Linked DNA regions of Lepisosteus oculatus. The protein of the gene in region 1 interacts with the protein of each later gene in a biochemical or structural test. Links are inferred from orthologs where the notes say so. Each region holds a gene or a part of one and is shown on either strand. Other genes may lie near its edges.

The links.
Region 2: the proteins of sqstm1 (region 1) and dnajc10 interact in a test that uses a peptide from one of them, tested with the Homo sapiens proteins (2 studies listed by BioGRID). The link is inferred for Lepisosteus oculatus from reciprocal best matches to the Homo sapiens genes SQSTM1 and DNAJC10.
Region 3: the proteins of sqstm1 (region 1) and rnf168 form a complex in vitro, tested with the Homo sapiens proteins (2 studies listed by BioGRID). The link is inferred for Lepisosteus oculatus from reciprocal best matches to the Homo sapiens genes SQSTM1 and RNF168.
Region 4: the proteins of sqstm1 (region 1) and prkci form a complex in vitro, tested with the Homo sapiens proteins (4 studies listed by BioGRID, with this or other methods). The link is inferred for Lepisosteus oculatus from reciprocal best matches to the Homo sapiens genes SQSTM1 and PRKCI.

The regions. Positions count from the first base shown.
Region 1 is NC_090706.1:33,993,589-34,000,795, forward strand, and holds the start of sqstm1 (sequestosome-1), read left to right. Parts: upstream 1-4,199; 5' UTR 4,200-4,475; coding exon 4,476-4,644; intron 4,645-5,826; coding exon 5,827-5,922; intron 5,923-6,299; coding exon 6,300-6,580; intron 6,581-7,119; coding exon 7,120-7,207. UniProt on the Homo sapiens protein: Molecular adapter required for selective macroautophagy (aggrephagy) by acting as a bridge between polyubiquitinated proteins and autophagosomes.
Region 2 is NC_090707.1:18,365,632-18,373,532, reverse strand, and holds the start of dnajc10 (dnaJ homolog subfamily C member 10), read right to left. Parts: upstream 3,002-7,901; 5' UTR 2,453-3,001; intron 1,318-2,452; 5' UTR 1,196-1,317; coding exon 977-1,195; intron 867-976; coding exon 701-866; intron 259-700; coding exon 208-258; intron 94-207; coding exon 11-93; intron 1-10. Other genes in the region: nucleoporin NUP35, read left to right, coding at 3,269-3,281, 3,814-3,984, 4,464-4,591, 4,678-4,738, 5,180-5,315. UniProt on the Homo sapiens protein: Endoplasmic reticulum disulfide reductase involved both in the correct folding of proteins and degradation of misfolded proteins.
Region 3 is NC_090708.1:21,393,888-21,400,867, reverse strand, and holds the start of rnf168 (E3 ubiquitin-protein ligase rnf168), read left to right. Parts: upstream 1-3,964; 5' UTR 3,965-4,326; intron 4,327-4,804; exon of another isoform or gene 4,805-5,061; 5' UTR 5,062-5,095; coding exon 5,096-5,405; intron 5,406-6,085; coding exon 6,086-6,156; intron 6,157-6,643; coding exon 6,644-6,814; intron 6,815-6,980. UniProt on the Homo sapiens protein: E3 ubiquitin-protein ligase required for accumulation of repair proteins to sites of DNA damage. Acts with UBE2N/UBC13 to amplify the RNF8-dependent histone ubiquitination.
Region 4 is NC_090708.1:13,870,948-13,878,044, forward strand, and holds the start of prkci (protein kinase C iota type), read right to left. Parts: upstream 3,008-7,097; 5' UTR 2,670-3,007; coding exon 2,587-2,669; intron 1-2,586.

The DNA.
Region 1 (7,207 bases):
CTTACTGTATATCCAGCGTGCTCATAGAGCACACACGGTTAAGCACGACTACAGTATTTGGGACCAAGAAGAACCTCCATCACCTGTGTATCTGCATGTTCTCGGTACTTCCAGGTGGCGCTTTACCCAATCAGAGTGTCGATTCTCACTCTTCACCCAATCGCGGCCCGAGCTGTTCGGGGGTTTAGCCAATCACGGGTCTGAGAGCTGTTCAAGGAAGCAGCGCCAGGTGGATCGGCTTGTTTACTGTCAATGAGAATCTATTTTTAAAATGCTTTACTTATTTGCAAAGTAACTACATCGGCTTGGTTTTTAACGCCTTTATTGATTCACAATGTCCCGTGCTCTTCGAAATAAATACATTTGTATTTGCAATATAACTGTCTCCGCTGCTTTCTGTAATGAATACATCGTATTTGTACAATTTGATCGTGTATTTAAGGTAGGGGAAACACCTCCTGCTTTGTACTTAAAAATGAATAGAGATGTAAAGCCTATGATCATTATATTATTATGCTCGTGCTTCAAATTTTGTTTTTTATTGTTAAATTATATCGATCTTGAAACTAATACCTAAAAATGTGAATATGGGCTCTCGTGTTGTACCAGCGGTAATATGGAAACTGGGGTCTCTTCACCAATGCATGGAGTACACAAGCAATACATTTTCGAGAACATGGTTAAAAATTAAAAGAAAACACCTAACCCAATGAACTAACTCCTCCCTAAATGTAAGACAGTTTATTCGTGTAAAGGCTGCAAAGTCTGGGGTCAACTGATCAAAAGATCACAGCTGAAAGATCTAGTCGTGACTTTGCTGTTTTGTACGTCACGGAGTGACGTCACAGCCAGGAAAAGAAAGCGTGAAATGAGCCATACAGGAGATAGCTGTGTGAATCTGTGGGTTTGCAATAGACCAAAGCAGAGAGTCGGTGATGGGTAATGGATAGGTTTATGTCTAGAAATGGAAGAGTGATGGAAGATATGTTAACTGTATATTTGAGGGACTGGTGGAAGTTGGTGAAGTGATGCAGGAACTGCACTAGCTGGTCATTAGAGCATGAATTATTATTGTTGTTGCTGTTGTTGTTGTTAACAATGCATTTAATTTACATAACACACTACATTACAGCGAACTTCAATATGCTTCACATAAAAGACAAAACTAAAAAGAGAAGTCAATAAACATACCAATAACTAAGGTGGAAAAAGAAAAATGAGTCTGCAGTACTGAGGTTTTAAGGTCTCTTTTAAAAGTAAGTTGCTAGCAGTCAATTAAAACCAGAACCGCCCAGTATTTGTACAGCCTCTTTCCTAGGGCTGCCTTTTTGCTTAACCTGAATTCCTAGCTCTATGTGCACTGTTGCTGTTTATTAGCGCTTCTTGTCTGATATACAGTATGTAGAATAATAATAATAATAATAATAATAATAATAATAATAATAATAATAATAATAATTGCTTACACTTATATAGCGCAGGAAAATTCAGTATCTGGCACAGGATTCAAGCTAACTTCTAACCCCATCCTATTAAAGAGCAGAAACTGCTAAAACAGTTCAATAAACTTGATTAAGAAAGAGCTCAGAAAGAAGCAGACACAGGGATAGTTCTCTCTGTTCCAGGGCTGAAAACAATGTGCTCCTGTGTCACTCAGTCTGTGTCTTATATTGTACCTGTATTTTGTAGTCCTCTATTGTAATTTTACCTTTATTACATCACTATATTGTACTTCTGAAGGTATAGATGAAATTTTGAATCTTCTTTGTACAAATTGGAATTCTTTTTTGTAAATTGCTTTGGGTAAATACGACAGCTAAATTACTGTGATTATCAATAATGGATTTTACTACGTCAATGACATACACTCATGTAAGGAACCTTGATTCTTTTATTTAAATCCGAAAGGATGACAACAAATAAGCTGTATTTAAATGCCATCATATTCTAATACTTTTATGTTGTAATGCTGTATATTAGCGTCTAGACATTGTTTCATTTGACAACAGTACCTCTGCCTTGAATTTACACTGCGTTGCTTTATAGGAGTAAAGAGGAGACAATGACAAGTCGTTTGGCATGAACTTCTGGAACTTTCGTGATCTTTTCTTTAGTGATTCATAGGAGGTCCTGGTGGAAACGCGATACAAGAGAATAGCAATAGAATCATATGATTCGGATGAGTCATAGTCAGGTGACGTTACTCCTTCAGGAGGGGGAAGAGAGGGGGGGGCGAAGGGGGGTATTGCGACATACAATAATTCATAGCAACTTTCACTCTCTTTCGTCATTTTCAGGTAAAGGGGCAAATCAAGGCCTAGGCTCTCATGGTGATGCAGCATTTTATAGTATAGCTTTGTTAACCGATTTATAAGCTTATCAGCATCACATGCTTTTATGCTACCTGATGCAACCTCTTGTTTGTTTCTCTACACAGGACTTTATTATTCTCAATTTAAGGAAGATCCATAAGCAAATAAAAAAGAAAACTAAACCCAACTGCAGGTTGGAAATTATAAACCAGAACTGGCTTCCCGAAGCACAATTCATCAGGTTTTATGGGTCAATCTTAAATCCTCAAATTCTGAACCAGTAAGTTGGATTAAGTTAATTTTCACTACTGTAGCAGGTGAGGTGTTCAGCCGTTATCACCCATTATCAGGCAGATGCCTTTTTCTATAAGGGGCAGAATCTTTGTGTTGCCTATCCCAGGTGCAAGGTGAGACTGTACTGCACGAACCAGTTATCCTAGCCAACAGGCCCTTAGAAGGTAGAAATGGAGAACCTGAAGAACAACAACAGAAAAGGAGCATATATACTCCATAGAGGAGATGCCCCTGTCTGGAATCCAACCTAAGACCCAAAGCAGTAAGAAAAGTGGTCCTAACCACCATGCCACCACAATGTAATTTCATTTTTTGAAATAGAAAACACCAACATTTTGTAGCTCTCAAGGACCACAGTCAGTCATTTCTGACTCGGCATCACCAATTAATTTGCTGCTCATTCGCCGTAACTGTTGCTTGAAAAGCTGCACAGAACAGTTCCATGCGGTGAATGAGCTAATACAGAACCTGACTGACGCAACGTGTTAAACTGATCTGACCGTAAACGTGTTGCACGTCTTCAAAAACCTACGGGGTTAATTACTAGGGCCAGGGTTGTCCACCACCTGGTTACAAACTCAGGACCTGATGGCAGGTTTCTGTGCGGCTTCTTCTCTCTCGCCCTCCAGTACTTGAGTTTGAAACCCGCGGTGAGACAAAGTTGTCGATTCTGCCAGGCCTTGATAAGGCTCCTGCATAGTCTAGGCAAACAGCCGATACTCATAGAAGAGTACATACACACAGCCACGGCTGTTAAAAAGGCTGTTCAATATGTGTTGAACAAAAATGTTCCAAAACACAAGTTTGTGCCAATTTCCAGTGACTCATCTTCAACATGAGAGGGTGGCAGGTTCTGTACCTCGCCAACGCGCAGGAAAGACATTGAGGTGGATCTCTTACTTCATGCTGACTTGCAGATTGCCATCTTGCCTGATAAACAGAGGTTATTAGATAATGTGAAGACGGTCCCCCTAGTCTCTCTCATAGTGAAAATGACTGGTTATGATTTACTTTAAGTCACATTTCTTAAGATAACGAGGTACCTTCAAGTGAAGTTGAACAGGCTTTCTAAAACATTTATGTAGGTGGAAGGAAAATAGGTTTCGTCAGGGATGCCCGCTTTATACTGACTTCTGTACAAACCAGTGTTGTTTCTAATACTGAAATTGATACAATTCTAAAAAAGTATTTCCATTTATAAATTAAAAACATTACTGGCTCTGAATTTTGCTCCCTGAAATTAATATTTCCAGTCTTTTCTGTGTTCCCGCGAAAATCTTGAGTTTAGTTTTTAGAACCACTAGATGATACATAACTAATGTAATTGATAATTCACTCATGTCTTGCTTTTAACTCGTATTCTAACATGTATTTTCATGTATTGCATGTACCTCAGTAGTAGGATCATTTCTTTCTCGTATTACAGTTCCTTTTTTTTATACTGAATATTTTCTGTTTTACAGAAGCTGATATTTCCATTCTGTTTTCCCGCGCTGGGATGTCACTGTAAAAAAGTGCTTTGTCATTCTTCGACCTTCAACAACCCACTTTGAATAGGGCTCCATTCTGTTTACTTTGCTAAAGACTGGCTTGTTAGTAAACGCGAAGAAAAAAAGTGCGTTTTTTTACCAGACAGCTGGATTTCCCCCTATTCTCATAGCAACACCCTTTTAATTTTTTAGGATGCACAACCCCTGAAGAAATGCTGATTGGCTGGGGTACAGCATAAATACTAGCAAGGAGGCGGAACTACAACACAGCAGACTAGAAAGCTGCAGAAGTACAGTAGCTGGTTTATTCAAGTGCGCAATAAGGTTCACGGGTTCTCGTCGGAGCTGGTCAGGTGAAGATCGAAAAGAAGAGGTAACCATGTCGATGACAGTGAAAGCCTATCTCCTTGGGAAGGAGGATATCCACAAGGAGATCCGCAGGTTCGCCGTCGATCAAGAAGTGTCCAGCAGCTTTGAGTACTTAACTCGAAAAGTGGCCGAGGTTTTCCAAAGCCTCAGGAATGCCACTTTCCAGATGTACTATAAAGGTAAGAAACTTTGGGGGAAAAAAACGAGAACTTCAACCTGTTTGATGAGATGTCACGATTAAACTTGCTACTAAGTGCAGCTGTGAATTTGTATAGGTCAGCTGGGAGAAGCAAGCTACTTTGTTACATCACGAGGGCCTTTTGTTTATAATGTAGCCTGATGGCAAAGTGAGTTATGCAAATTGTACATTGTGGGTTGTGCTGTGCAGTCATTGTGACGCACTCACTTTTAGAACTCGCAGAAAATGGCAAGGATATTTATTACAAGATTGTCGGATGTTTCAGTTTGTTGCGTTGACCTTTATCAGTGTTTTATGGACTTATTGTTGGATTGTGTAACAAAATCGCGTTGCGCGTGACATTGGAAGCGGCTTTAACGTCGTTATTTTTAATACGTCAGGTGAAGAGAGAAGGGTTATTAATTACTGTAACCTGAATAATGTGGTACAGATATCTGTGATGGCAAGGGCTATCGCTTAATGAGCTACAGAGAAACAAAATTAACACTTAAAACGGATGTTAATCCTTGGCTACTAAACATTGAATATCGTTCTGTGACTTCATGACGCCGAGATATAGGTTCATTGTATTCTGCAGTCTACTGTACACGCAGTAAGATGGGACTGTCAGTCCTATCCAATTCCCACTGCTTATCAACGTTTTCCTTTGGTAGACTTCCGTGTATTGTCGGTTTATTGTTGTTTTTTTTCCTAATATCTGGAAGAATGGAATTGAGAACGTTCACAAAATGACTTCATCTAAATTCTATCGCTTCCCTCCCGTTAAAGTTTTACAAAACAAAGGTTTTCTGTTTGATATGTTAAGGAATACCCCTTAGCAGCAGTTGATACGAGCCGTATTAAATAACACTCCCATGGTTCGTCAAGACCAATGTCTGATGTGTCAGTTTGGTGATCATGTTCTTAACGCCCTGTTGCCCAATGAAAACAATGCATTATTTAATCCAAATGCGTTACTGAAACTCCTAAGTACAGCAGTAAGGCTCGTGGGAATGTTACCGAGACGTCGAAAACACCTCATTAGTAGAGACTGGAATACTTCAGTTGAGCTTGATTGCAGTTAAGGTAAAACTTTCCATAGCATCTCCTTTTTGTTCCCTGAGTAAATGACTAATTGTCTGTAAATTAAACCCTGCTAACTGACACTTTTTTTCCCCAACAGATGAGGATGGCGACTTGATTGCTTTCTCCTCTGATGATGAACTGATGATGGGACTTGCTTGTATAAAGGACGATACTTTTCGAGTCTTCATTAAAGGCAAGTTGTTTACCCTGGGTGAATCATTTACAGTTCTTAGGGGACCGACTAAATGTGTTTAAACAATGACTTCAAAGTTTGCTCTGTCACAAAACTAAGCCAGTTTTTTTTTTTTTAATATTGAGCAAAATCCATGAACACGAATACTTTTACCACTTGGAGGTAATGTGAAATTTAACGATTGGGGAAGTAGGCAATGTTTATTGAATTAATTTAAAGGTGGTGGCTCCACTCCTAGCTTTTAACTGTTAAATAGACATGTATCCTGTGCCACACTTTTTCTGTGAAACATGCTGCAGTATCCATTTTTAGGGACAGATAATCAGAAATCTCCTGTGCTCATGACCGTGGGTTTTTTTCCCCCCTTCACCCCACAGAGAAGAAGGAGTGCAAGCGGGACTTTCACCCCCATGGATTCCAGGGTCCTGATCGCCCCTTCCCTTTCCCCTTCTCCTTCCAATCCCCTCCCCCTCCCCCCTCCCATAACGCCGTGCACCCCAACGTGACCTGCGACGGCTGCGAGGGCCCAGTGGCTGGGACGCGCTTCAAGTGCACCGTCTGCCCCGACTACGACCTGTGCTCATCCTGCCAGGCCAAGGGGCAGCACAAGGAGCACCCCATGCTTCCCATCTGGGCTCCCCTGCAAAACATGTTTGAAGTAAGACGCCTGGCTGAGCCATGATCGGAACCGAACACTTCTTGGAAACCTTGTTTGTTCTAGATCAACATTATGACGGCTGTTCCTTTACAAAAACATTATCCCTGTTTTTAGACAATGACTATTCAGTCCAGATGACTAGCACAGCTGCATATCCTCTTCTGGGTTTCAAATAGTTCCATTACTTGTTTTAGCAAAATTCAAGGTTTAATTAAGTTTTGTGCTATGATATAACTGCTTTATATGCATTATATGTGCATGTTTCCCCCTTGGTGTGACAGAAGTTGTTTTTTACAGTTCTAAACTATGCCGAACCTTCCTGAAATGTCACTTTTCTACTCTGGTTCTAACTGGATCTGCCTGTATGGCTAAACTGCAAAATTGTCTGAACTGCTTTTTCTTCATAACCTCATATTGCTGTTTTGTATTTGTGAACTGTTTGGAGGGTTTCGTAAAACCTCAATATAATTTGTGTAAAAAAAGAAAATGTACACTCTTAGGCCTGGTTCGGTAGTTTAATCTTTTTTTTTTCCCCCTAGTGGTACCCGCGCGGGAAGTGGATGCGCAAGATGAGACATGGCTTCCCCCACTGCATGTGGGCTGGAGCCCAGAACAGGCCCCAAGCCA
Region 2 (7,901 bases), on another chromosome or scaffold:
GTTTTCTCACCGTTGGTGCCAAGTCATGACAATGTGAGCAGCGTGGAAAGTAGAAATTCACAAACCACAGCTCTCCAGAGTTCACAGCCGCATCTAATGAATAACAAAATAAATACCCCTGTAAATCATCCTGTTAACAGCAAATGTTAGGCAGACAGCCAGATTTACTATTATATTATTTGATAGTATCTGATAAAAAATGCTTACCAAAGTCCCCTCTGTCCAATGTGATGATCTCAAGATCATCATCATATATACCTGTAAAAGTGAAAACAATATATCAAAAAACATTCCAATAGTCAGCTCTAAACTAAAATGACACATCATTATTAATTAATATTTTAATTCTCCACTTTCAATTAGGCTTTTCAGAAATCTCTACCTTGAAATTATCAAACACATGTAAGATGGATACATACTTTTAGCTCAGCCTTCCAATTGTTTAAGATTCTACACTTAAAATTTACGTATGAGTAGGAGATCTGATCTACCAAAATTTAAACCCAGTGCACAGAAAGCACTCAATCCTGAATTAAATAAGGTAAATCACTTTCCTCTGGGGAAAATATTTCAGTTCTATGGAAATAAATACCTTGGGCAATTTTATCCTGGATTAGCCTTACTTTTCTGTACGCAGCATACAGTAGATGGCGAGCAACACACAGCACACATAAAGTGAGACGTTGTTAGGCCGACATACCAAAGTCATATCGGTAATAGTTCCAGCTTTCATATCTTCCACCCTCCTGATTATCTTGTAGTCCTTTCTCTCCATATTTATCATATTTCTTCCGCAAATCTTCATCTTTCAAAACTTCATAGGCTCTGTTTATCTTCAGGAACTTGTCATGAGCATCCTGATCATTCTAAATAAAACATGGACAGTCAAAGTTTTGACACCTTGTTACAAATAACATTTCATATCTATGATTTCATGCAATGTACAATTTGTATATGCTTTGAGATATTTACTTACAGGGTTTTTATCAGGATGCATTGTTAGTGCAAGCTTCTTAAAGGCCTGTCGAATTTCTCTATTACTTGCTTCTCTGGACACTCCAAGTAGCTCATAATAATCATCATTGCAGGAAATAACAGCAGCCAAACATATTATAACAAAAAAGTACAAAAATGTTCTGCTTGACTGTCTTCTGTAAACACAACAGGTTTGTTCTGCAAGTAGTGCTGATTCCATTGTGTTCTGCTCCCCGCTGACTCAATCAACCTTCAAGACACAGTTGCTCTCAAGCTGAATTCGATATCTTCATCCTCAGCTATGTGCCAGTAACTGCTTGCTTCAAACAGTTTTAAAGATATCTATGTTGGAAAAAAATGAGAAAACATTATGCAAACAATGATTGTACATTATAGTGATTCTATAAATCCAGAGCTACATCACACCTTTTGATATTAAATCCTGTCAAAGGACATTTATCTATACTTTAGATCAATTTTGGCAGTACTGCATAGCATTTTAAAAGTTAATGTTTTTGGATGCAGTCCATGGTGTGAAAACAATCTAAACAAAAAACTCAATTTTTAGGGAGAATTGTATGATTTATAGCCAGGAGGTGCCGGACATTTTCCAAATAGGCAGCATTTCATACCTTTTACAACACATAGTGAGTTAATTCTAAATGAAATAATTAAATCACAATTTGTACCCAAAAATGAATGCCCTCAATTTAGATTTGATGAAGAATAAATTATTGCAGAAGAGGAGGTCAATGAGGAACTAATGGTCTTTGTAGACTGCAAAGTACTAAAGTAAACTGAAGTACAAATAAACAAACTTCACTTTTCCACTTAGAAAAAGACACATCGTAACTGCACCACAATGTTTCTATACAGAAAATAATCTACAGTGTGTGATGAAAGCAGGAATGTTCATTTTTTTTCAATCCATCTATTACAGTAACAAGGTTTATGAACGAAAAGTAACCTTGGGTGAAGATAATGAGGTATGATGGTTATCTTTGTAAGATCCAGGAAACTGTAATGGTTTACCCATGGGGAGGCATACATTCTAGCTAAAAATCATACCAGGATTGCTCCTGAACTCAGGTTTAAATGTACAGTAATATGTGTATAGCAGGTAATTACATACATGAAAGAAATCAATTGTTTTGTGTTCACAAACTGGAATTTCTAGTTGCAGTTGTTTATAATTCACATGAACAAGGAATGAAAGCAGTTCAATTAAACGTGTTTATCTTCTAGTAACAGATAGCATTAAAATATGCAACTATTAAAATCTTGATGCTGTTATTATTAGGATTAGCTAGATCATGTACAAAATTTATTATTCGTTTTAATTAAAACTTGCTCTGAATCTGGGGTTATACAGTACTTATACCTATTCTTAAATCTGCATCACTTTTAACCTTATGTGATAATATGCTAACAAAAGTGCATCACTTTAGATATAAGGATGGGTAGACAGACAACTTACCGACTCCTGTTTCGTCGCACCAATGTCAGTCTAAAGCGTTTCCAAAATTTCAATGAATGTTTTTTTCTGATAACATAAACATCTAAGCTTATACAGACTGCAGCTTACAAAGGAAAGCACATGGCAATTATAATAAGGCAAACATTACTTCTCCTCGCCTATCCGGGTAAAGATCCTGTTATTTCGGTACCGGTATATTTGCAGACACTAAGAGAAACTTTAGTGTACCACCGTGATGACGTTAAAACGTTGTGTGAGTGCCACGTTAACCACAGACCCTGTTACACTAACCAATGGGAAACTACCTCAAAAACCAGAGAAAGGAACGCGTCTTTTTAATCGTGGTTCTGCTAGTTTTAGGTTATGTATTATACAGCGATTCTGGAATAAGGAATTTTCTTTTCGTAAATATGACTTAATTTTCTGCTTAGAATAATTAGTTAAAGTTAAATACATACTTGTTCAGTTAGTTCAAGTTAAATACATAGTAGGGTAATGCATCTAAGCGGAATCTTTTATGTGTTTAATGCAAACGAAAAATACATAAAAATGTGAAATCACTATAATGTTGTAATTTTTACACGTGCCCTTTAAATCCCACTCCTTTCCGACTTCACATGAAACAGGAGTCTGCCCGCAGCTTTTATATGACGTCACCCCCAGAATGCCTCGGTATTGCTGGAAAGCGCACGATTTCCGCCATTATTTGAAAATTTGAATCTATTTCAACCTAAAATTAGGCACATTTTGATTGGAAAAATCAGCTTGCTTTACTTTTTCAGCTGTCCTTATATACTGTTTTGTGGGTAGCCTGTAATGGAATTTCAAGGTGGGTACAGTCTTTTTCTAGTGTTGTACTTTTGGAGGTTAGGAATGCATATATTTTAAAATCTACCGCTCCATGTTATTCCCTTAATCTCATTCAGGCCTAAATTAATTAATAGTCATGTTAAGACTGCAATATTGATAAAATATCTAATTCTGATTTTATTTTTATAGTTTTTGAGACATTGTTCTATTTATGGCGTGTCCCAGTTGACAGTTATAACTGCAGTAACACTAGACTTATCGCTTTTTTTGAACATAGGGGATATAGCGTGAGGGGTATTAATACATTTTATAATCAATATGAATTTTTGCTAATACTAATTCGAGATTTGTATGTTTGTTTATTGTCATCAATATATATATATATGAACTATTATACTGTGTTAATAAATTGCCTTCAAAGCTACTCCAAAAAAAGTTTAGAGGTATTGGCTTGTTTTATTCCAAGGAAGAGTCTCCATGAAACGGTGTTTTGGGCAGCTCTAGGTGAGTCGGATAAAAGCAAATATACGGATTTATCTTAACTTTGTCAGGTACAGAACCAATGACCCTGGGGTCGCCAACCTCCCCAAAGCCCAGTTCGGGCGCACAGTTCCTGCCCGGGTTTCTGATGGGCGACCTGCCAGCGCCGGTGACTCCCCAGCCTCGCACCTTCAGCAGCTCTGTCGGCAGTGGGATGGAAATGAGGTCTCCTCTTATGACGGGTGAGCTGTTTATGTATTCATCTTCATAATCCACGATTTTACGGGACATGGCGTAACAGGTGTGAATTTATACCAGTCTGCTTCGTGCAGAAGGTCTGCTGGCTGTGACGGACGCAACAAATAATCCACTGACCAATTGTTTAGGGGGGGTTCTCCGTTCCAAAAAACATATCGAGGTACGTGCATGTAAAATCACATTTAAAGTGCCGAGAAAGGGCTGTAAAATTTAGAATGGATTTATGGAGACCATTTATTTTGGGGAAATGTCCATTTCTGAAGGAGTAAGAGCAACCTTTCTCACTACCGTGTAAGTATTTGGCTGTGCTAGTCAAGATGTGAAGACACTGTGGTATACTAGAAGAAATGACCACAAGATAAGGTTACGGCACGATGAGGAATAGAGATTTAAATATAGTCACAGAGTAAAACTCAGTGTTGCACATGTGCAAGATGCCTCTCTCAATTTTTTTTCCCCTCAGGTGGTTCACCTCCTCAGCCAGTTGTCCCCACACCCAAGGACAAGAGTGGGGCACCCCCAGTTAGAAGTATATATGATGAGTTAACATGTCCAGGGATTGGGGCATCATCACTGAGTTTGCAGAAGCAAGTAAGCAGTTAGAACTGTTGATTTATTTTCTTATCACATTATCTGATCATCTTCCTGTAATAAAATATCGCCATTCCTGTCCACAGCCCTCTTTTTCAGTGCTACAGACCCCATTATCTGCCTTGGCTGCTGCCTCCCCAGGAACAGGTGAATTATATGGTTGAAGTACTTTTGCAAGACATCTTTTTTTAACATCAGTTAATAACATGAACATCTCATATGCAGTGCTTTAAATTGGGGAACAGTGCTTTTGATTTTAAGGCTTAATGGGCTGAGTGTTTTTTTTTTAATCTAAACAAAAAATCTGTGCCTCTAGCTCTTTTGGTTTATTAAAATTATGTTGCAAATATGATATGATGGGGGTACAAAATAAATTGACCTAATCGCTAGTCCGCTTAAACCGTGGGTTGAATTTTAATTTCATCCTCTTGAGACATTTTGAGATTTCATTTGGTGGTAAAGGCAAAAAACGTATAGCTATTTTTATCTTGCCATCGGCAACTAATATGTCTTGTAATATCTGAAAAGGAAAAGTGCAACGCACGGTTCTAACAGAACTAAAACAGCTACTTGTTTGAATTTTAACAGCATCAAGTGTATTTAGTCCTCTCGGCCAACAGAGAAGGGCAGCCATCTCTCCAGCCCAAGTTGATCCTTTCTATACCCAGGGGGATGCACTTTCTTCAGATGACCATTTAGATGAAACTTGGGTCACAGTTTTTGGGTAAATATAAATACTATTTTTTAAGTTTGCATTGCACATACTGTACACTGCAAAAGTTCTAACTCCAGATAGATATCTGACAGGCTAAAGCTAGGTTTACTGTGGTATCATTTCACCTTTTGTAAACATGTTTCTGAGAAGAACATTTAAAATGCTTCATTTCACAGAGGTGCGAGATTAAATCCCTTTAGTTTAGTATTTTACTTAAAGAGGGGACACATACTGTAGGTTTCTTTTTTATTGTTTTCCCAGATAAGTCAAGTGAATAAATTTTATTTCACAATTTTGTAATATAGTAGCTTATTTATAGAGCAGGGCATTAACTGGAGAAATTTGAATAAAGTAACTTGCTCAAGGGTACAACAGTTGAGTTCTAACCAATAATATAAAGGTATGTAATCACCAGGTCCACTAAAAAACGTGAATAGTTTGAAGTTCAGAAATTTTACCTAGTAATCTTACTTTCAGTTTTATTATTGCAGCTGATGCAGAACACCTTAACTGACTCGTGCCTCCCAAAGCATCACTAGTAGTGATTACTACACAGCAAACTAACTCCAAACCTGAAAATGCTACAACATTTTGGATCAACCGCAGTACAATAGTGACGTAATAGACATTTTCTGCGGTTTATATACCTTTCTAAATTCCTGTTAAACCTGTCTTTCTTAAGGTACGTAAAGGTATGAGGCCTACAGTGCCTTGCGAAAGTTGTTTAACCCCCCCTTGGGGTTACCTTTTCACATTTTATTTTAACCATGATGTACTTAACAAAATTTTCGCCAGTCATCAACACAAGGTACTCTATAAGATAAGATCTCTTTATTAGCCTTATACAATTTCTTGGATTAGGAATTTCTTTTTCGTAATGTCAAGGTGAAAAAAAAATCTAGACATTTTACTACATTAATGAAAAATAAAAAACAGAAAATAATTTAATGCATAAGTATTCCTCCCCAATCCCAGAGTTAATACTTGGTAGGACCACCTTTGGCAGCAATTACAGCTGTGAGTTTCTTTCGGTAAGTCTCTATCAGCATTGCACATCTTGACACTGGAATTCTTACCCATTCTCCTTGGCAAAACTGCTGAAGCTCCATCAAGTTGGAAGGTGACCATTTTTGATTACCAATTTTTAAGTCATTCCATAGATTCTCAATTGGATTGAGTTCTGGGCGTTGACTTTGCCACTCCAGGACATTAACCTTTTTAGTTTTAAGGCACTCCAGTGTGGCTTTTGCTGTATGTTTTGGATCATTGTCCTTTTGGAAGATGAATCGTCTTCCAAGTCCCAGTGCTCTTGCAGATTACAGCATCTTTTCTTCCAGGATGGTTCTGTACTTAGCTCCATCCATTTTTCCTTCTATCTTTATGAGTTTTCCGGTCCCTGCCGCAGAGAAGCATCCCCAAATGGTGGTATTCTCAGTGTGATATGCTGTGTTAGGTTCGCACCAGACAAAGTTAAATTTTGGTTTCATCAGACCATAGAATCTTCCTCCAAATTGTTGAGTCTCTCACATGCCATTGGGCAAACTCCAGCCGAGATGTAATATGAGTTTTTTTTCCCAACAAAGGCTTTCTTCTTGCAACCCTTCCGTACAACCGAGATATATGAAGCGTGCGTGCTATTGTTGTCTAATACATAGTTTCTCCCATTTCTGTCATGGAGGACTGTAACTCCTTTAGAGTTGCCGTAGGCTTCTTGGTGGCCTCCCTTACTATGGCTCTTCTTGCCCGGACACTCAGTTTTGGAGGGCGGACAGTTCTGGGCAGATTCACAGTTGTTCCATATTTTCTCACCTTTGTAATGATGGACTTCCCTGTGCTTCAAGGTATATTCAGTGCCTTGAAAATTTTCTTATATCCTTATATCCTAAATGGTCATTTTCAAGAACCTCGTCTCAGATCTGCTTGGAACATTCCTTGGTCTTCATGATGTAGTGTTTCCCCCCCATAGTGCATTTCAAAGGAAGCTGCCAGACACAGGTGTATTTATTCTGCAATCATGTGAAACACCTCAAATGCACACAGGTGGACTCCAGTCAAGTAATTATGTGACTTGGAGAAGAGAGTTGGTTACTTAATGGGTAATTTAGCTGCTTCAAAGCAAGGGGGAGAATACTTATGCTTTCAGTTATTTTCTGTTTTTTATTTTTAGTTTAGTAAAATGTCTGGATTTTTTTTCTCTTTGACATTATAGAGTACTGTGTTGATCAGTGGTAAAAAATCTCAGTTAAACACATCAGGTTTCCATGCTGTAACACAATAAAATGTGAAAAAGTCCAAGGGGGGTGAATACTTTTGCAAGGCATTGTATATCTGGTATTTTATCAGTTTCTCTAACCTGACCTCTGACTTTCTCTAGCCACGTTTTTGACACCCATGAAAGCTTCCTTCTGATAGCTATGTGGGTCAAGGAACCCCTTTTCTTATTCTGGCAAGTCATAGGTTAGCTCTGCTTCCTGCACCACCTCAAGTGGATAAATCATACAATGCGATATATACATTTTCAATATATGTAGACCCACCTATTGCAAGATAAGGTAGAACTGCAAAAAGTCACAAACCAACACCCTTTGCCTACAT
Region 3 (6,980 bases), on another chromosome or scaffold:
GCCAGAGAACCAATAAACCATTAATGGTCATTTTAACTATAAACCATACATCTTTTAATTGTCATCTGTACTCATGATATAGTCATTAGCCCAAACTGTATAACCCAACATACATAACAACAACACCAGTCTCTGAAGCCCACTGGCACCAACCAACTTCAGGGCACAGGACACAACTAAAAAAAATTAATGAAAGTCAAACACAGAACAAGACAAATAACACTACCCTACCCACTGGGACACACACAAACACAACACATACTGGAATGCTGCACTACCCTAAACAGACAAGACACACTAGCTGAGTACATGACTACAGTAAGTAAATTAAATGCAGGTAATAACACTGTGGGATATTAACTCTTTTCTCGAGAACTAACTCACACCGGTTTGTGCACTCCTTACTCTGCACAACCTCCTCGCTTCTCTAGACCCAGCTATTAACCGTACTCTACTGCCCTCTAGTGGCACCAACAGTAAATCCAATCTTCTTCTTACCTTCCCCTTTAAGTCTGTTTTTTTTTTAAGTTGGCAAACATTTGGTTAGTTCAGGTGGGTAGCTGCGTCAGCATGCGTAGGCTGCAAAGGAACAAGTAATAGGTTTATTCCATGCTGAAAAAAAGAAGAAAGAGAACACAACGTTTCGGCCGTGGAGCCTTCTTCAGGTGTGAGCCTTCTTCACACCTGAAGAAGGCTCCACGGCCGAAACGTTGTGTTCTCTTTCTTCTTTTTTTCAGCATGGAATAAACCTATTACTTGTAAACATTTGGTTATACTCCTTTACACAACTACAGCTCAACTGAACTTTTAAACTTCCCAGAAAACAATGATTATATGTTTTTACAGTTCACAATCTTCAAAACTAACTTTGAAGTTTGTTAATTCTCCATGAGCGATGCAGCTTGTTGTCCACTCCTGAATTGTGGGGTTTCTCTGGGCAGGTTTTCTCCACTTGCTGTCCAGCTTCTATCACCTCCCTGTTTTCTTCCAGTGTTGCACCTGCATGGTGGTTTATGCTGCTATGGGCTCGTGAGAGAAAACACATTTCAGCTGTGAAGCCTTCTTTGAAGGCTTTTGTCTTTGAAGAAGGCTTCACAGCCGAAATGTTGTGTTTTCTCTCTTCTCTTTCCAGCATGGAATAAACCTATTACTTGTTCCTTTGCAGACTACGCATGCTGACGCAGCTACAGTACCCACCTGAACTGATGAAATTAGTTTAGAACTGCCTTCCACCCTCGTGGTGGGATAATTATTTGCGCCCCTCACAGAAAGCATCCGTCCTCACACCCAACTGAATTTGTCTAAATCTGTACAGTACAAAGCCACATTTTTGGGGTTGTTGTTTTCAAACTTTAAATACACAGTCTCTAAATAGGATAGGGTCTGTACCTGTCCTTGATCTGACTTGGCTGTCTTCCACCAGGCCAGTGTCTGCACTCTCAAAGAGCAACACTGGGCTCTGTGACGTCTCTGGAAGTGGAAGAAGACTAAAAGCATCAGCATTCCCCTCCTCCCCCCTGCCTTGTACACTGTGGAATATTCATAGACTTGTAGTGTCTCTGTCCATCTTTGGACTGGGTGACATTACTTGTGGCACACCTTTCACCTTGTTAAAATGTGATAGGAGAGGTTTGTGATCTGTTTAGATAGCAAACTTCCATCCATACAAATATTTATTAAAACCATGTATGCCGAACACCACGGCTAAACCCTTTTTGTCTCGTGAGAATAATTATTTTCAGAGAATGTCAAAATATGGGGCATACATCCAGTCTGCTTCATCCAGCAAGTTATGTGACAGTACAGTCCCCATTCCATGTGGAGATGCGTCACAAGAAAGTACACCTTTGCCACAAAAATAGTTTAGCACTTCACAGTACTCTTTGTTTTTAAGACTTATTTTAGTCCCTTAATAAATCTGTTACAGATTGTGAATCATGTAAGCAGGTTGTTTATGCATAGGTGATGCCCAGGTTGTGATGCTGTGCCAGACAGCATAGCCAGCTGTCCAAAGAGCTCAGGCTCAGTCACCACAGCCTGGACCTAGACACTGGACACAAGCAGACCTGGCTGTCCAGACAGGACAGACTCGGTGACCACAAAGACCACAAACTGGGTGACACAGAGAGACCATACTGCCAAGAGAGAATAAAAATGTGATTCTTATTGCATTGTGAGAAATACTTTGGGATTAGATAAACATTCTCTCTAAAATAACAAATCTAATCCCACAATTTCCACACCTGCTAGAATTAGAATGGCTCGTAAAGAGTAGGGGTGTAACCCCGGTGTCCTGGCCAAATTTCCCATTGGCCCTTACCAATCATGGCCTCCTAATAATCCCCATCTATGATTTGGCTACATTACTCTGCTCTCCTGCCCACTGATATCTGATGTGTGGTGAGCGTTCTGGCGCACTATGGCTGCCGTCACATCATCCAGGTAGATGCTGCACATTGGTGGTGGTGGAGGGGAGTCCCCATTACCTGTAAAGCGCTTTGAGTGGAGTGTCCAGAAAAGCGCTATATAAGTGTAAGCAATTAATATTATTATTATTATTATTATTATTATTATTATTATTATTATTATTATTATTACCTACAGGCTAAGGAGGGAGGAACTTAGCTGAGGTGCAGCCTAATACAGTATGTGATCTCCTGTCAGCCAGAGGAACACTGAGTGAGCCTGTCTCACAATAAGGTTTTATGTTTATATGTTTATGTAAATGTCCAATAATAAGTCTGTGAAGCAATTGTCCATAAATGTTATGTGTATTGCATCTGCATTGGCAGCACTGTAATTCATAGATCATTCCAATAAAGACTGAATTTGAAGGTGATTTTTTAAAAAACATTTTATTTGAACAACAAAAAAGATACAATATAAACAAGAGAACATTTAACATATCAATTACATCGTCAGGGGTACATATTACAATACAAATACACTTCATGAAAAAAGTTTAAACAGAGTAAATAAAGATAAATATTCTTGTTTTTACATTGTGAAATAGTCTGCAAATACGCCTTTACATCTATTTTGACTACATCAAGCACAGGACTCTTCCCAGACCATTTCACTTTATGTATATAGTAACGTGCAAGTATAATATTTAACTCAATTATGAAATATATTTCCATATTATTTTCAATGGGATTAAAGTTTAACATTACTTCTGTTTCTTTAAAAGTTATATCAACATTAGCCTGTTTTTGTGCAAATCAGTCCAGAAAGCTTTTGCAATAGGACCTAACCAAAATATATGTTGTATGGTTCCAGAGCTACTTTCACAAAAGACACAGTTATCATCTATAGTAATTTTTAATCTCTGCACAACATAACATCACTTTATTAGCCCTATACAATTTCTTGCATTAGGAAATCACCTTTTCACATACGCCAGCTTGCTCTCGGGGGCCCAATGGAGTTGGATTCCTCTGCCAGCCGCGGGATTTGAACCGACAACCGTCCAGCCACAGGTGCCGATCCGTAGCCACAGAACCACTGCTCCGCTCCAAAATGAATTACGATGCATTGGCCGGGAATCGAACCCGGGCCTCCCGCGTGGCAGGCGAGAATTCTACCACTGAACCACCAATGCGCTACGATACGATATGAACTTGACATCATGTTGTTTTCCCAAACAATCAATCAGTTTCCAGATAAAGGTATTCCAAAATACTTTAACTGACAGGATATTGTCAGCTTGCAATAGAAATCTTACAAATTTGTTATTACATCCATAACTTCCTTGTGGGATAATAATAACAATAATAATAATAATAATAATATAAGCTGTACAATCTTTCATAGTTTCTGATGAGATACTATTGCAATTCCTTGATTTGAAAGTGATTTCAGTTTGGAACTGAACGCTACAACTGAAAAAAAAAATGTTTGCAGCGCGTCTGCGTGAAATGAGCATGCGCGTTTCTCCAGGAGCGCTACAATGTGCGCAGGCGCAGTATCACTCCTCCAGCTCAGATTCCCGGGTTGGTTGATTTACATAGGGTGAAAAAAGCATTTATTTTTTACGTTGTGAATTAGGAAACGGGTTTGTTTTCTTTAGAATGTTATAATCTAACAGAATTATTTTTGTTGTGTTAATGTACTTTATGTGTGCGTTTTAAACATTTCTGACCTCCGCGGTCGTTGCCGCAGGCGCGGGCAGTGTAGGTTCCCATCTGAAGCGCCACAAGGTAAACATTTCGAAATCTTTGATCATTTTACCGCACTTCTCGGGGTCTCATGATGACTTTTCTGTATCAGAAGACAGGCCCCAATGTTCTTCCGGATCTCTTGGTTTCTCGGCATTGTCTCCTAAAGGTTATTAATATATAAAAATGTAGTTTTCCGGTGTTTGTGTCCCTGAATCACTTTCTTGTTAGTCCACCTATAGACAGAAAATAAAGGTCTGTGTATGAAAGGGCATATATTAATAAAATATTTACGCGTAGGGATATTAATTTCACTTATAAAACCATCGGACGTATCAGCGGACAACGGAATAAATAATTTGGGTTTAAATTGTTTCGGTAGTATTTTGTAATTTTTTAGATTTGTTAATGCAAGATCTGCAGCTTATTGCTTTCTAGGTTATATTGGGCTAAACGTAGTTTCGCGGGAAATGTTTACCTTATTTTTACCTTTTTTCTTCAGATCTACAGTCAGCTTTATTAGAGTTTATGAGACCGTATAACCGTATATAGTGTCTTTTTGTATATGGTCTCCGTACTTGTGCTCTGCTGTAGAAAGTTTTCAGAAACTTTTTCCTTTTAACCTTTTTCCTTACTGTGTTTTTCAGAGACCAAACAGGTGACACGGTTTTTAAATAGATTCCTGGTTTTACGGAGTTGTATCCGTCATTTGGTCAGGGACTTGGGATTGGGAGCTAAAATCCCAATAAAAAATAAAAAATGATACAGCAGAGGAGATATCACAATCTGTAGAAGAAAATAAGGATTTCTGTTACATGCTTTAAAGACAGGGATAGCTTTAAGTGACACTAAGAGATTCCTCTTGCAGCAGTCTCTGGACCTCACTCTTTTCCCCTTCCTCCAGTGGGATTCGGGAGAGGGGGGTGGGACAGGTAGAGATGCCCGAGGTGCCGAAGGAAGAGGAGCAGCTGTCCCACGCGGACTGTATCTGCTCCGTTTGCCTGGAGATCTTCCTGGAGCCGGTCACCCTACCCTGCGGCCACACCTTCTGCAAGACGTGTTTCCAGCAGACGGTTTACAAGGCCAGCATGTGCTGCCCGCTGTGCCGCAAGAGGGTGTCCACGTGGTGCCGTCTGCACAGCCGCAACAAGACGCTGGTGAACGCGGAGCTGTGGAGGAAAGTGCAGGCCGCCTTCCCCCTGCAGTGCCAGCGCAAGCTCAGCGGGCAGGACGCCGACGACAGCTGCAGTGAGTCTCGCCCCTTTGCCGCTCTTGCCCAGTCACCTGGGGACCTGGGGTGTTCTGGAGGAAAGAAGAGGGTTTAATAATAATAATAATAATAATTGCTTTCACTTATATAGCGCTTTTCTGGACACTCCACTCAAAGCGCTTTACAGGTAATGGGGACTCCCCTCCACCACCACCAATGTGCAGCATCCACCTGGATGATGCAAAGGCAGCCATAGTGCGCCAGAACGCTGCCCACACACCAGCAATCAGTGGGGAGGAGAGCAGAGTAATGAAGTCAATTCATAGAGGGGGATTATTAGGAGGCCATGATTGGTAAGGGCCAATGGGAAATTTGGCCAGGACGCCGGGGTTACACATCCGAAGGACGGTTTATCGCTGTCTTCAGTGATACAGGGTTGATGCCAAATAAAAATACCGTTGAATTGTTTAAGACCTTAAATTTGTACCCTGAAAAGAAGATTGAAGTTCACGATCCAGACCTCAGCTGTAACGAAAACCAGATCTGTGGTACAGGATCAGTGCTGGGTACCACCACTGTGTATAAACAGGGTTCCGAATGCAATGAAAATACCCTGTGTCCTTTTGGTACTACACTTCATAGCAGATCATCATATAATATTGAAATCTTTCATTTTGGTCTGGTATTGGTAAGGTACTGTTTTTTATGCCTTTGACAGCTCTGGTTCCCCTACGAACAATCAGCAAACCTGGTGAACTGCGGGAGGAATATGAGGCCCAGTTAAGTAAGGTAAATGCTCATCATTTACTGTTCTAAACAGAACCCTAGAAAATAATATAAAGATCTAAGCTTGCACACTAGATCTGCCGGTTAGATCTGAAAAGAAATGCAGTTGACACAAAACTGTTGAGTTGGTCATAGCAGACGGCGAAACATCGGAGGTGTGACGTTTTTGCTGAAATGGGACTTGATTGTATTGTGAATTACAAATTAACAAGTGGCGCATTTCCAACAGTGCATTCTTTAAATCCTTTGAGGAACCTCCTGAAACGTATTTTTATGCAGAAACCGTGTGGCAGACTAGTGCCGGAAATGACCCCATGTTCAGCATTTTTACATCCAAAATAAAAAGGGATTTGGTCAGCTTTTATGCATGCTTTGTACCAGTTTCCCTCTCTGATAATAGACTTGATTGTGTCACTGAGTGGATCTGTCTGTACTTCTGCCCATGGCCGTGTCCTCTCCTGCTCCCTTGCCTCCTCGCCTGCCCGCGCAGCTGGCGGAGGAGAAGAGGGCCCTGGAAGAGGCCGAGAGGCAGGCAAGCGAGGAGTACATCCGCAGGCTGCTGGCCGAGGAGGAGGAGCGGCAGGCAGAGGAGAGGAGGAGGGAGGAAGAGCAGCAGCTGGAGCACGACGAGATGCTGGCGCGCCTGCTGAGCCAGGAGCTGGTGAGTCCCAGGGAGCAGGGTGGGGACACAGTGAAAGTTTCCGGTTATCACATGTAGAATATCGATCAATCACTAATTTATTCTTCACGAGCACGGAAATCGCTTATAAAATAATCCGGGGCCAGGTATTTGTAGTTTTTTTCACGTATGGAAAATCTTTAGCATA
Region 4 (7,097 bases), on another chromosome or scaffold:
AGTTGAGAGTTATTCTATAACCCAACTAAATACGTTTTTTAAAAGAAATCAACTTCATTTAAGCTGCAGCAGTCATGGGGTCAAAACAGTGCCACCGCTGAGGTCTGAAAGATCGGAATGTCAGAGGCAATAAAATCCTTTTCGTAAACGCGGTTTACATGTTTGTGAATAACCGTAAATCATGGCTATGCATTAATGTTGTGCGATATTATCCAATAATAATCAAATAAAAATAATAACATTTTTTATTTGGTATAGCTCCTATAAATGCATCTTCTCAAAGTGCTTAACAGTAAGAAAAAAAGGGGAGAAGATAACAGAATTAAGACAAGTAAAAATTAGCTTTGGGCCATTGCAAGAGAAAGCCCTGTTACCCCCTGTACGCAGACCAGTATGAGGACAGACAGCAGAGTGGGGTCAGACAAACGAGAACTGCGAGGTGGGGAGTAGGACGATAATAAGTCAGTATATGACTACGCAACACCTACAGTACAATACGATGTTTTATTAAAAAGAATACTTGAATCAAGTGTCAGTCAGCTACTGCGAGTCTACTCCTTTCAGAAATGCACAATTGGAAGCTTCACTTCAGTGCGGTTTGTTCTGTGCTGTTTATCTTGGCAGGCATGTGCTTTTTCTCCACTCCCTATCTGGACAATATCAAGGTCAGCGACTGAGATAAAACCCAAAGGCCCGAGGCAGACGTTCATGACCTCAGGTGAATACAGAGCTGTCCTACAGTGTGCTTTCACCAAGCATCAGTTTATTTCAAAATGTTCTGTTTATGCACAAGAACAAGACATTTTTTGGCAATTTTTATGAATTCAGAAATTCATGCAGACATGTATACAAAGGGGCTTCTTTTTTTACTGTTAGCATTTCATAAGCAGATATGGTCCTGTAAATATTTCAGAAATACTCTGCATTCTTTATTTGAAAAGAAACACTTCTGAAATGTCAGAAATGTACAACAGCACACATGCAGTGACAGTGATTGGGATTGCGAAAGGTCAGAAGAAACTCATCTGACAGGTTTTTCATGATTCAGCACACCATTGTTAGCGCCTTCCAAAATGTAAGGTAAAGTACAACTTCCACATAAAGCTTTCCATCTTACAACTCAACTGACTTACGCAAACCTCAAATTAGCAAACCGTTTAGAAGCACAGATAGATCTTAACAGGTTACAGTATCTCATTAGATGAGTCAAAGACAGAAATCTAAACAAAAAATCAAAAATGGCAAAGAGCAATTATTCAGACTGTGTTTTCTGTGAGAGTAACAGAATACCTGTGGCTCAGGAGGATGACACCTGAAACGGAACAAACCTCTTCATACGGTATGACATCAACAAAATTCTTCACATTCTATAACTACATGCTCGAAAACTCTATTTTTCGGTCCTAATCGCTTGAAAATAATCAGACGTCATTGCACTTCAATGATGGAAGTGTATTCTCTGCTATATATAAAGTGCTCTGGGCACCTCTGGGGTGAAAAGCAATATATACAAATGCAATTAATCCTTTCTCTTACTGCCTTCATTAGAATAACCTCAGTTTACAAACAGGAATTGCTACAGGACTCCACTGTGCCAGGGCTGCCACCTCTCCGCACAAATCTCACTAAACAAAAAGCAAAAACAGACAACTCCATCCACACGTCTTTACTACGGCGCTAGACATCCCCGGCTCTCACTTGAGACACAGTTCACCGAGCTAGTGTGCAAAGATCTCCCTTGATACTTAAGATGTTTTTTTTTTTAAGCTGCAAGAGAAACAAGGTGTGCCAAGGCGTAAAAGGTTACTGCTACTACCGCAGCCGCACAACCTGTCCGTGCGGGTCTCGGGCTCCGCGCAGCTTCACTCTACGGCAGCTCCGTCAGTGGTCATCAACATGCGACACCAACACCTACATTACGCATTATTGAGTAGGTGGCATTCTGTTAGCCTTAAAACACGAGTCCCGTCCAAAGCCAGTGGCTAAGATGAAAAATCGTGTCCTGAAAATGCCCTGATTTCAATTGTTTTCCTTACACGAAACGGCTTCAAATTCTGAATGAAAAGAACAGCGCATCGGTACCATTGTGACCATTCCTCGATGTGTACTCATCGGTTAATCACACAGCATAGTTAAGAACATCGTAGGTGTAAAAACGAGGCTTGTTGCGACTTGACTTTAATATTATTAATGGCGAATGAAGGATACCATACCCAACGAATTTAAACAATAAAGCTCTGAAAAGAGTTCACGATCGTAGCCCTGGGATCGCATTCCTTAAACCAGAACTCTACCAAGTTTGGTCTGTGGGAGAAAACTAAAAAAAGGTTTCTGATCTGCCATATCTTTAAAACATGAATGCCCTCCCTATCAAGTTAGGTCTCCGGTGACGTCCGTCACCTCCAAACATAGGTTACAAACAAGAATGGTAGTTATCCGATCCAAGAAGATTTCACCTGCTAGGTCGCACACCGTGTGGCTAAAACCATTCCTCAAGTAAAACACTCCTCGTTTCTTTTCAGTACAAATTTCAAAACAGCCACCCTAATCCGGACCGATCCAGCCAATATACTGATTTCCACTCACCCCTTATAATAGGCTTTCACCCGCACTTGGTTAGGATTCTCTCCTGGGTGGGACATAGTACTGTCCCGCAACGTAGGCATCATAAGCTCCGGTACCTGGACCCCCGCTTTCACTGAACAAACCACGTCTCGAAATCGATTTCAATGCCTCTCCTCGGTCTTCGCGTGCAAAGTTGTAGTAAAATGACATCAAACTTAAAACATTTCCCCGTTAACGAGTATCAACTTTCGTGGTCTTCCTCTAAAAACACTCCCTACTGCAGAGGCCTCGCAACCGACCGTGCCAACCTCGGCATGTAGGGGGGGGGGGAGGGGGGACACCCTTCACGCGAATGAAGGGATAAAATGAACACAAAAATGATCAACTACAAACGAAAATATTTCATAGTTCAGGCATCTCCTATTTCAGGAGTACACAGAATGCAAATATATAGTTACGCTTTTTACGGTTCACCCCTACTAAGAAAAATGGACGTGCTAGCCGGCATTCCGATTATACCATGCCAAACGTAGGTGGAGCTTAGTTGATCAAACAATAACAAAAGAAATAAAAACTGAACACTCCGCGGCTATATAAAAATCGGTTTATTTTATACTGCATTAGAATGGTTTAACTAACTTATTTTTTCGTGCTGCAACAAATTACACAACAGACAGTTTTATTGCTTGATCATTTTCAAGGATGAAAGACCCAGAACCAAAACATTTCCTTGCCATGTCGCAGAGACAAATACCAGCCGTCGCTCATGGGAAATGTAGTTTTTTACATAAGGAAGCTCATTTGTTATTTCAGGGATCACATTTTTATGGATCATATGAGGTCGAACATTTTCACCGCAACCGCTTTCTGTCGGGGTCCTCATTAATATATATGGCTATTTGTTGCTCGTGTATTATGGATGGCACCGCCATTCTCTTGTCAATAACATCCCGATCTGTTTGCAGAAACGTTCGGTAAATGTCATAACTACAAACCAGAGAAAATAACCACTGTGATTTTTAAATACTCCCCATTTTCGTTTAAGCTTCAGTTTCAGCAGCATTTTTATTTCGTATATCTGATTTTCAGAAATATATCCCATCCGGTACAACTTGTTTAACCACAATCCACGGTTTATTATCCATTGCGGGACAAAAAAAGATTATTTAATTAGCATTAAATGACAATAACGTGTTCAACTAAATGGTTTTCGCATGTGGTGGCTACAGCACCAGAGCTGCCGTTTCACAAAATTCTTAAAAACACGAGTAACTTCAAACATACAGTAGGTACAGTAATATGTTAAAAGTAGTGATAATATTTTTTATTAACCGATAAAGTTCAGCAAACTGGAATTACGGAAGAAAAAAATGGAAAACATGTACACCGTGAACCAATTTTAAAGATGATGAATGTTTATATGTGTTAAAATATGTAATGTATGTGATAATACAAACATCAATATACGGTGTATTCAAGATAATCCCCAGGTTAGCAATGGTTATATATTAATAAAACATGTTTCTTCTTGATTTTCATTCATCACTACATTTACTCGTGGTAACTAATACGTTTTCTCCTATGCCTCAATATAACAGTGAAAAACCGATCGTTTCTGGGTGATCCCCCTAATTTGCAATGATACCGAATCAAAGATTATGCCAAAACAGTGCACGATGTATTTTCTAATTTCTAGTCTCAGGTCTCAGATGGTGAAGCTTTTTGCATGTTTTCATCTGCTCCTCCTGTTTTCTTCTTACTTCTTCCAATGTTAAAGTTCCCCCTGCAAAATATTTACACAATATGGAAATAATTATATTTCTTCATTAGAACAATTAGAATCAAAGCAAAACAAAGCACGACTACTGTGCCATAAAACTTTCTTTAGGACCACTGAGGACCCTTAAACATGGAAGAAGGAAACCCTATTTTCATCCAAGCTAAATACAGTAAAAATAACAAATATGATGTTACTAGAGGATCTTATTTTCTTTTACAAGAAACTCTTTAGTTTAAGACAAGACCTCGGTCGGGTTCTGAGAATAATGTGCTCTACTACGCCCTGTAGTGGTCAATTGCAACACTGCAGATTATATAGCTATTGTTATTACTAATATGAGATGTACTGAATATGTTAACACTGTCTCACCCAAATTGCCTTATATAGCACGTGTGACTGATTTACACAGAGAAGGGGCCTACTTAATCCTCCTCTGAAGCTGAATTAAAAGGGGCATCTTCAGGAAACTCAGATTGCACAATCCAGTCACTGGGATTAACACTCTACCCCTTTGAAAAGAGAAATGGAATCTTAAATGACCAACAAATCTGGACCCTGATTTAGCTTCTCATACAAAGGACATCACCTCCAACAGAAAAGCTCCTCTGGTCACTCCAGGTTTGGAAATTGGTCCAGAAGGGAGATTATTATTATTATTATTATTATTATTATTATTATTATTATTAATAATAATAATAATAATATTAAATACAATGAAGACATACATTTCAGCTGCTTGTGACCGGATTCAGAGAGTACTCACCTACAGCACTTGGGACAAAGGACACATGGCGCACTTTCTTATTAAGTTTGAAATTTTCCAGCGCTGCCAGTTCAACTTCAGCTCCTTTGTCAGCCATCATAAAGAAATGGTGAGAAAAATGTCTAAGTCATTTAGTCTGTTCAGGATCCCCAGTATCAGATGTTTAGACATTTTTTTTAAAAAAAAAGAATAAGAATAAGATATTAACAAATATTTTTTTCTTTTTATGTTGAATGTGTGGATGTTTGTCTCCTATTTATCAAATAACTGACAGTGTTCTTGTTTTTTTCTGCATGTTGCTCCAAGAAAAAGAAATAAAATGTACTTTTCTGTAGTTCATCCCTCTTCTTTGGATTGGGAGGGATCATTGTAAATGCCCCGTAACTGCAACAAACCAAACAAAAATCATCTCTTAGAATTAGATCTTTGGTGGTAAGCAGAATCTAGAGGGGAATATTTTCTGTCACACCTACTAGCATTGAAACACATAGGGATCAATTGGATAATTATGCTCAGAACTATATCAATGATACTATTTTTAAACGACACATTAAACTGATCGGTACACACAGTTCAGATCTCTGTTAGGAATACCTGTTTGTTTTTATTACGGAGAAGGACCTCTTTTACAAACTAACGACGCGACTTGGGGGTTAAAAGAAGAGTAGGATAAACAATTATTTACCTTTGTGTGGCACTTGGAGACTTGTCGTGTTTTTTCTGAGCACGCTGATCGTTCCCACTGCACGTTATAGCTTTAGGCTTTGATGTTACTGCGTTCGGTTTTGTTTTTCTCCCATTTGGGGTCTCATAACTAGCACCTCCGCTGGGGTCACGGGCGTTGCTATGGTTACCTCCGGTACAGCCAGTGGCTCTGTTTCTTTTGGAAGCGCAACAAACCGTCGGTAATTTCGGTTTGGCTTCCGCAGTCCTCAGTTTTACAACCCCGGAGTATGACATGCTGCACCACAAACAAAAAAGGAAAAAAATATCTAAATGCAACGTACCGAAACGTTTTAAATTACTTAGGGAAACTACTACGAGCAGTCACAAGGCTGGAGCTAATGACTTGCCACCACTACCTAACATTCAGATTTTTCTACTTATCACGGCATGAGATTTTTAGTCTTGTAGACGAAAAACAGCTATCCCGTAGAACTAAAGGAGAGTCACAGTTTTAGGCAAATATAGACATAAATACCCAATCCGATTCTAATAGATCTTGACAGGATTGATCCGATTAGAGCTCGGGTTACATCTGCAAAGAACTCTGGGAGCTGTAGTCAGTGCCGTGTAATTCTCTTGACCAGCTCTGATGTTGTTTACTGTCTCAGCTGCAGCACCTTATTCTAAGAGTTAAATTGCCTAATCTTAATGGTATCCAACAGATACCAATGATCATTTTGAAACATTCGTAGGGTTTTAGAAACGATTGTGGAAGTAAAATGATTGCCATTTATGAAGACGAAATGTTCTTATTTCAGAAGTTGTCACATAACCCTAGGACGAAAACTAAAAGGGAAGCAAAAGGGGGAAAACTATGTGGTTACATTTGTACAAAGGTGAAATGTGCTGGTGAAATAGTTTAAAGTGTACGTAAAAAAGGCCTGTTGTATGTCATGTGCTCGTTTGTGCATGGACACATTGCTGTACAAAACATTTATACATTTGAGGGGTAATCGGTAAGGTACATCATAAAAGGTGTGTCCTGGGGTTGAGTAAAAGACTTTTGATATCCGAAAATAGCGATATAAATAGTCCTTTCATTTTCATATTTATTTGCTGGAGAAATATGATGGAGATTTGTTGCAGAAATCGCCGGCGAGAGAAATCAGAAAATAGGTATATCCATTTATACGATAGCAAACAATCATCCTCTTCTTGACGATACTGGAGATAACACTTTGCAATGAAACATGTTTGTCGACTTGCATTACTCTAGAAATGCATTTAAATCTATAGATTTTGTTATATCAATTCCAAACTGAC